Linked DNA regions of Xenopus tropicalis. The protein of the gene in region 1 purifies or fractionates together with the protein of each later gene. This does not show direct contact. Links are inferred from orthologs where the notes say so. Each region holds a gene or a part of one and is shown on either strand. Other genes may lie near its edges.

The links. The genes of interacting proteins can lie anywhere in the genome.
Region 2: the proteins of ubr2 (region 1) and ube2b purify together in Homo sapiens (affinity purification with western blotting; 3 studies listed by BioGRID, with this or other methods). This does not show direct contact. The link is inferred for Xenopus tropicalis from reciprocal best matches to the Homo sapiens genes UBR2 and UBE2B.

What each region holds. Positions count from the first base shown.
Region 1 is NC_030681.2:15,179,974-15,184,297, reverse strand, and holds the start of ubr2 (E3 ubiquitin-protein ligase UBR2), read right to left. Parts: upstream 2,916-4,324; 5' UTR 2,847-2,915; coding exon 2,766-2,846; intron 1-2,765. UniProt on the Homo sapiens protein: E3 ubiquitin-protein ligase which is a component of the N-end rule pathway.
Region 2 is NC_030679.2:26,523,377-26,527,595, reverse strand, and holds the start of ube2b (ubiquitin-conjugating enzyme E2 B), read left to right. Parts: upstream 1-1,329; 5' UTR 1,330-1,432; coding exon 1,433-1,476; intron 1,477-4,219. UniProt on the Homo sapiens protein: E2 ubiquitin-conjugating enzyme that accepts ubiquitin from the ubiquitin-activating enzyme E1 and transfers it to a E3 ubiquitin-protein ligase. In vitro catalyzes 'Lys-11'-, as well as 'Lys-48'- and 'Lys-63'-linked polyubiquitination.

The DNA.
Region 1 (4,324 bases):
CTTTTCCGCTTGCCGAAAATATCCGCCCTATGCCTTGTCTGGCATTAGCCTTATTGAATAGAGAGCATGTAACACTGAAGATAAACAAGGCTGTCAATATGGTCCTATCTGACAGTTCTACACAGACACTGCCTCTGATTCAGGGACCAATCAGATGAGCTAAATTAGGACCATCTGGGTGACCAAACTAGGAAAAATCAGATAATGGGTTGTATCATTAGCATTAAAGATAAAATGCAGTTGTACAATACAGTACATACAATAAGAATCTGAATGAAGTAAGCACTGAGGTTAAACATGCAGAACACGAGGCAGGAATGTGTCCCCTTAGGGCTCTGGCAGACGGGGAGACTACGCGGTGCAGCGATTTCCCCGAAATCATGGAAGTTTCCTCTTTCGCCGGTGGGATGGCATTTCAGGGAGCATTTCTCCCCTTGTGCCCGAGCCCATAAAAGGTGCAGTTTATTATTTAGTTAATTATTTCTATACTGAACATTAGTTAATAATATTGTGCATGGACTTCTAAGGAAATGTAAATCCTACAATAACATTTTGCCTAATTAAAGAAATTGCCATTTTAAGCACTTTTCCAGCATCAATGAAATAAGTTATTCTGTGGTTTTACAAGTATACTGAAAAGCAGCGTCTATCTGTCCCTTTATTTCTATGCCCTGTTGAGCAGAAAGCTGAGCCTAAAGCAAATGGCGCCCAAGACATACCCCACCTCCACGGCTTCATAAACAATATAGAATACTGATCGTATTTAAAGTCTCTTATTTCCATGGGACGTAACTAAATTTTAATTATCACGCTAGCTTCCCCTATAAGGGGAACAACACTGGAATTACTGAGTCTGGGTTTTAAAATGTAAAGGTTGCTTAACCTGCACTACGGTTGCAGCAATATAGAATTCAAGAAGACCCTGCTGAGTGAGACTGGGGGTAGACAAGGGTTTAACTAATATCACTGTATTACTAAATTGCTACTGACAATTACCTATACATAATCAAAAGAGCATACATTGAAAAATGTATAATTTATTCTATACTTTCAAATCCACAGCCCTGCCTCTTCTCATACATATCTTTATCACAAAGTAAAGGTTATTTATTTTTACAGTAAATAGATACAGTAGCTAGGGTACACCAATGACATAAGGCCTTTGAGTTCATCAAGGTCGTGAAACCAGGAAGACCATTAGCTCTGGCTCTAAAAACACTACTGCAAAGCATCTACGCCTATCAACACGTATGCCACTACCACCATCAATATACATAACTAAACGTCAACTAAATTTAAACCAACCATGCCAAGATACCGTACTGGGCAAAAGGCATTTTTTAGGGTGCATTATTCTAATGGGAATACTAGTACTGTAAGACTAGTATTCCCGGTAAGTACTGTAAGAAAAAATTTGTTGCAAAAACATTCTACCAAAATTCCAGTCAAGAATCCTATAATTTATTAGAACTTTTATACTGTACTCTACAGAGCATTATGACAGCTGCCTCTCACAATAATACAAATTCATTGACACATGAACCACTCCATGCAGAATGCCCTGGCTCAGATTTTTTTTTGGGGGGGGACCTTCGTTTGCCATGGGCATTCTTTATTATTTTTATCATGCTGTGCAAAAAGTGGAGAGAAGTATTACCGGTGATGTTGCCCAGGGCAACCAATCAGCAATTAGTTTTCAACAGTTGGAAAACCAAAGCAACGCATCTGATTGGCTGCTATGAGCAACATCACCGGTAATGTTTCACTCCACTTTTTACACAGCGTGATAAATATACCCCTATATGACAGTATCCCAAGCCATTTTTTTTTTAATTTTTTTATTTTTAAACTGCAAATATATTTCCCCTAGAAGAACCCAATTTATAAATAAAATACATTACAATCTACACATATTACAGTATTTAAAATGTCTGTCTTTATTGCAGACTAGAATACAATATTAGCAATATGCGCGGAGATATGCTTATATTTAATAGCTGGAATACCTACACTATATAACTATATATATATATATATATATATATATAGTCCATGTAGATGGTAGCACGCCACAAACCAGGAGTTAAATGCCTGGGTGCTAATGCAAAAAATACATAAAAACTGCAGTATAGGCCAGCACTCACAGGACTTCTAGGATTAGGACTTCAGACGAATAAAGATGTTTTTACAAGAGATCTTGAAGCATGGTTCTTTATTATTATGGAACCATGCTTCAAGATCTCTTGTAAAAACATCTTTATTCGTCTGAAGTCATAATCCTAGAAGTCCTGTGAGTGCTGGCCTATACTGCAGATATATATATATTATATAATAAACTATATAAAACAATTACTGTGGTGGTTTATTTATAGCATATTAAGTGAATTGTGGAATTGTAGTGGTGCATATAAAGAAACGTACACAGACTCAGTCAGCTGTGCATCTGTGTTAATGAGATAAGTGCAATCTACCGCTTTCTAACTGTTGATGTTAATATTATACCTCGTCCAGCGAGAAACCAGTCTGTGGTGCATGCTGGGAATTGTAGTACAAGTGCTAGTAGGCGACAAACTGCTAAGGAGGTATGTGTGTGCTTACACCGTTACAGACACATATGACAGGGAGAACAGCTGTACCCCTAGCTGGCAGCTTCTAGTTCCCCTGGACAGGTACAGTCTGGTTCTACACCAGCTGCAAACACACAGCGGTACCGGGGAAACTATTCCCAAGTACCGACGGACCCCTGGCCTTTCTCGGCCACGTACCAAGGCCACCTCCCCGGCACAGCAGGCCAACAACTCGCTGTCTATTCCTGGCACTTCAGCTTCTTGCTCTGGAGCCGCCATCTTCTCCAAGCTGGAGACTGTACCGGAAGCGGAAGCGCGTCACAGCGACATTCTGAAGTAACTGTGACAGGCGAAAAACGTTCTGACTGAGCAGAAAATAGTTTCTGCCTCAAGTTCTGCAATCCCTCAACAAACCGTTCAAATGCATAAATAGAGTATCGCAGTTTAGTCTACAATCTATTCCAAGTGTGGGGGGGTGGGATCCATGTGCGGAATTAGTGATTTAGGTAAATTAGTCCAAAAATGCCCAAAATCGTGTTGTGAGTTGTGAGAGTTGTAGTTACGCAGTAGGTGGAGAGTTGCAAGTGTGAAAAGGTTTTTACCATAAGGGTGTTATTGTCTGCCTGACATTAAAACCAACCCTGCTGGTGATTGCAAGCTGTTGAAATCAGTAATATAACTTAAATTGCTGATTGATATATATATATATATTTTTTTTCTTTTAAATCTTTTATTAACAGGGTCGGACTGGGGGGTGCAGGGGCTTCTGCCTCAGGGGCCACTACATCCCAATGGTCCCCGCCGCCTTCACCCCCCCTGCCGAGGCCCCCAACACCCGAGCGCTTCTAAGGGCTCTGGCACACGGGGAGATTAGTTGCCCGTGACAAATTTCCCTGTTCACGGGCGACTAATCTCCCTGTGTTGCCATCCCACCGGCGAACATGTAAGTCGCTGGTGGGATGGCACACACGGCAGCGCGATTTCGGCAAATCGCTGAAAATGCCTCGCGAGGCAACTTTGGCGATTTGCCGAAATCGCCTGCGAAGCGTGTACCATCCCACCGGCGACTTACATGTTCGCCGGTGGGATGGTAGTTCGGGGAGATTAGTCGCCCGTGACAAGGGAGATTTGTCGCGGGCGACTAATCTCCCCGTGTGCCAGAGCCCTAAAGGGAGACGGCGGATTGCGGGAGCGCCCTGGGGGGGGATCAGATCTGGGCCACTAAGGCTGGGGATGATTAGGACTGTGACACATGGGACATTAGTCACGCCACGACAAACCTCCATTGTCGCTGGTGACTAATCTCCCCGCAATGCCATCCCACCGGCTAGAATGTAAATCGCCGGTGGGATGGCATACGCGGCGCCGAACTGGAGATTTGTCACGGCGTGACTTATCTCCCGTGTGTCCTTTCCCGTGCTCCTATATCTGATCCCCTGGCCCCTGGCTGCTTTCCAGTTTAGTGCTATTGTATTTTTAGCAAACATGCATAAGGTAAGAATTAGAGTTTGGTGCGCTCTATTGAGTGGCAGTTCTTCCACCTGGATGAGTAGTATAACTAAAGGGTCTAATGGAAGGATTACATCTGCCTTATCTTGTATGTTCTTAGGCTGATGCCACACCAGGCGTAGGGCTGATTTTTTCGGCAAGCGGAAAAAACGCTTGCCGAAAATTCAGCCCTACGCCTGCTACTTGTGCCTGCACCCGAATGAATGGGATACGCTCGGGTGCAGGCACATGTAGCCGATATACGCCCG
Region 2 (4,219 bases), on another chromosome or scaffold:
GTCGATTTATGGTCATTTTGTGCTCCTTCCATTTTCGAACAATCGCACCAACAGTTGTCACCTTCTCTCCCAGCTTCTTGCTAATGGTTTTGTAGCCCATTCCAGCCTTGTGCAGGTCTACAATTTTGTCTCTGACATCCTTGGACAGCTCTTTGGTCTTTCCCATGTTGGAGAGTTTGGAGTCTGCTTGATTGATTGATTCTGTGGACAGGTGTCTTTTATACAAGTGACTAGTTAAGACAGGTGTCCTTAATGAGGTTGACTAATTGAGTAGAAGTGTCTAACCACTCTGTGGGAGCCAGAACTCTTAATGGTTGGTAGGGGTTCAAAAACTTATTTCACTCAATGAAAATTCAAATGCAAATCAGTTGCTATCTTTTATTTAAAGTTATTTTTTCGATTTTCCTTTTGATGTGCTATCTGCCACTGTTAAAATAAACCTACCATTGAAATGATACTCTTCTGAGACTTTTCATTTCTTTGTCATTGGACAAACTTACAAAATCAGTGAGGGGTCAAATAATTATTTCCTCCTCTGTATATCAAGATCTAAGACAGTCCCTGCAAATTGTGATCAGTTGCTATTTCTGCAATAATCACCTATTGCAACTGATGAGATTACCAAGTGTTCAAATATGCAGATGGTTTGGCAGAACCCATTCTTTAAAAAGAACTACTATCTCTGAAATTTACATTATGGTCACTTTCCAGTTTTAACAGCCTGGGGTATTACCACAATCATTTCAGAAGACAAATATTTATTAAACTGATAATAAATGTGACTTATTATGGTGCATGTTATTCATACAACCCAGGCACATGTGCCATATCTTTCTCTGACTATATTTCTGCAATACAATTTCCAAGCAGTTTTCAGTTGCAGACTATATAAAACAGGAATGTTTAAACAGTGTGCCTACTGGTGGTGCTGAACCATACTTGTAGCATCTCCAGTAAGAGACTTTATTCGCTATAAAGAATACTCTACAGAACCATCAACTTTCACCGAAGCTACCCTCCCAGGAAAGCCGAGCTCAAACACCACGTGATATGATGCAACGCTTCTCCTCAGGAACTTTGAGTTGTCACTTATGGAAGCGACCATTCGTACGGATGACAGGGGTGATCGTCAGCAATAAATCACACTGCCCCACGTCCAAGAAAACGGCATGCCGCGTCACAATAAAAAACAAATGTTCCTATTAAACTCCGCAGTGAATCTCGGGGCAACATTTTGCAAAAATGGCAGCTTAGCACGGAATCTCCCTCTCCGGTGTAGTTGGTACGGTCCTATGAAACGTTCTGGTCCAGCCCCATGTTGGGAGCACTGAGCAACGTCATTGCGGCTTGTTTGTGCCAGGGTTGCTGAGTTAGCGGCGGCCGGGTTTGGGCTCCCTCCCTTCCCCCTCCGTACTGCTTCTATTCAGGGGCAATGTCCACCCCGGCCAGGAGGAGGCTGATGAGGGACTTCAAGAGGTGAGTAGGGCTGTTACAGGCTCCTTCCCTCATCGGCTTCACTGCGAGTTCCGTTCGACTCCGCCACCAAGTCACACGACTAGTGTATAAGGCAGGGGCAGGCAACCTTCGGCGCTTCTGCTCTTGTGGGACTACACCTCTCGCCTTCTGCCCGCTTGGCATGCTGGAAGTTGTAGTTTTGCAGCATATGGGGGGTTACCTGAGGCCTCCTGGGCGTTCAGTGGATCAGTACCCGTAAAGGGAAGATGTTAGGGACACTGAAAATCACAAAACCCCACTTCTTGCTGGCTATAAGCACTAGGCCAGTTCATCTCCTTAAATATCTATAGAGAACAGTATGGAAGATCTCTTTGCAGCATAGAGCAGTTGGCCAATGAGTTATAGTAGACCCCACAATTATATTTCACTTTTGCTAGGTTTTATTTTTTATCTGTAAAGTTTATTTTTGTATTTTTTATGGCTGTTATAGTGGGCAGTGTGTGCTAGTGCAGCCGGCCCCTCTATCCCCATGCTGCCATGTGCTTATCTGTATTGTTTTGTAAGATATATCCTCACCCACATCCAAAAATACATACAGGGATGGGACCTGTTAATCGCAAAGCTCAGGAGCTGGAGTTTTCAGAATAAGGGATCTTTCCGTAGTTTAGATCTCCATATCCTAAGTCTACTAGAAAATCATTTAACCATTAAATAAACCCAATAGCATTATTTTGCCTCCAATAAGGATTAATTATACCTTAGGCTCAAGTACAAGGTACTGTTTGGCCACCTTTTACACCCTCAGCCAAAGATATGAACTGCCAGCAATGTGGTTGAAAGGTTTTCTGGCAGTTAGTGAAATGCTGGTCATCATTAGCTTTAGCCTTATCTGCCCCATTTCTGCTGCTGGTACAGTCCTGCAGTTGCCTTCCAGCTCTTTAAAAGGCTTTACACATAAACACATTTTCCCAGAATTCCAATTTTGCTTTATCTTGCATGCTTGGCCGCACATAAAAATCTATTTGGTCTGCATTGTGAATACTGAATCAGCTTTTTTGACCAATACATTTACATTGGATTATTGATCAACACTGTATGTATATTTATATAGAACTACTTAATGTACAGAGTGCTGTTCAATACTGGGCAAATTTGCACCTGGGCAAATTTGCACCTGGGCAGAAACCTATAGCAACCAGCCAGTGATTTGTTTTTATTCACCAGGTTGAAAAAAAAAAAGAGAGAAAATGTTGATTAGTTGCTGTTGGTTACTGCACATGTACAGAATTGCCTGGTGTTTATAAATGGGCCCCACTGATCAGTTATTTATTTTTTGCATTATGTTTTTTTATGTTTTTAATTACTTAATTGGATTTTTAGTCCTGCATTGTTGTCCACAGCTTTGTTTTTGGCAGTTGTGCAATGTGATTAGTAGATAAGGTATTCTGAACATTGACTACACTTCACAATCACTTGTTTTATTGGTTTTGGTGATTTGATGACATATTGATGTCTGCTAGAAATACAAAAGCAAAAAGTATCCAGTCCATCCATTTATTGTAACGTACATTATTGCACAGATAAATATAATCTTTAGCTGGGCAAACATCTTTGTATTGTTAACATTGTTTTTTTTAGGTCAGTTTATTGCATCATAAAGCAAGAATGTCAGGGAACCTCATTCCACTTGGGTCCTTAACGCTCAGCACTTAATCTTGAGTATCACTTTGTGCTTTGTATTTATTCGTTTTTATTTTTGGATTAACTCCTATTAGTGTATTGTTCTCCTGTTAGTGATGCATACACAAGTAGCACCTTATTAATAAAATATACAGACAGCATCCATACCGGTTTTGTAGCAGCCACACAGTGAAGCTCTTAAAGTCTTATGTCATTTCAGAACTCGGCTTCTGTTTTGGCTTCCCTTCAATTTTGTTTAAGCGGAAGGGTTTTTTTTTTCTATTTGTATTCCTCCTACTATAGGTTTTGGTGATTAAAAATGCCCTGGTGAGAACTGTCCCAGATGTGACACCCACCCAGTTGACTTCTTCCATATAACATGTGTTTGCCCCCTCATCCAGCAAATCTGCTCAAATGTAATACAATAAATGCAAAACAAACCTGGAATTCCGATTCTTACCTAGAGCCACAACTTTACTACTGAAGCAGATAGAAGAAATGGCGCTAGAAGTTAGGCGCTATATATATATATATATATATATATATATATATATAAAGCAAGACAGTGAGCTGCACACACCAGGACTTGGCAAAAAAAATGATAAGTTTATTTAAGCAAAGAAAGGATTTCTTTGCTTAAATTAACTTATCATTTTTTTGCCAAGACAGGTATCGGACCCCTTATCCGGAAACCCGTTATCCAGAAAGCTCCAAATTACGGAAAGCCCGTCTCCCATAGACTCCATTTTAATCAAATAATTCAGAATTTTAAAACTAATTTCCTTTTTCTCTGTAATAATAAAACAGTACCTTGTAATTTATCCCCACTAAGATATAATCAATCCTTATTAGATGCAAAACAATCCTATTGGGTTTAATTAATGTTTTATTGATTTTTTAGCAGACTTAAGGTATGGAGATCCAAATTACGGAAAGACCCCTTATCCGGAATACCCTTGGTCCCGAGCATTCTGGATAACAGGTCCTATACCTGTGTGTGTGTGTGTGTATATATACCCACTTGATAAGAAAACTTGATTTTTCAGAATGTCTATTGTTGTAAATGGCATAGTGTGCACCAAAA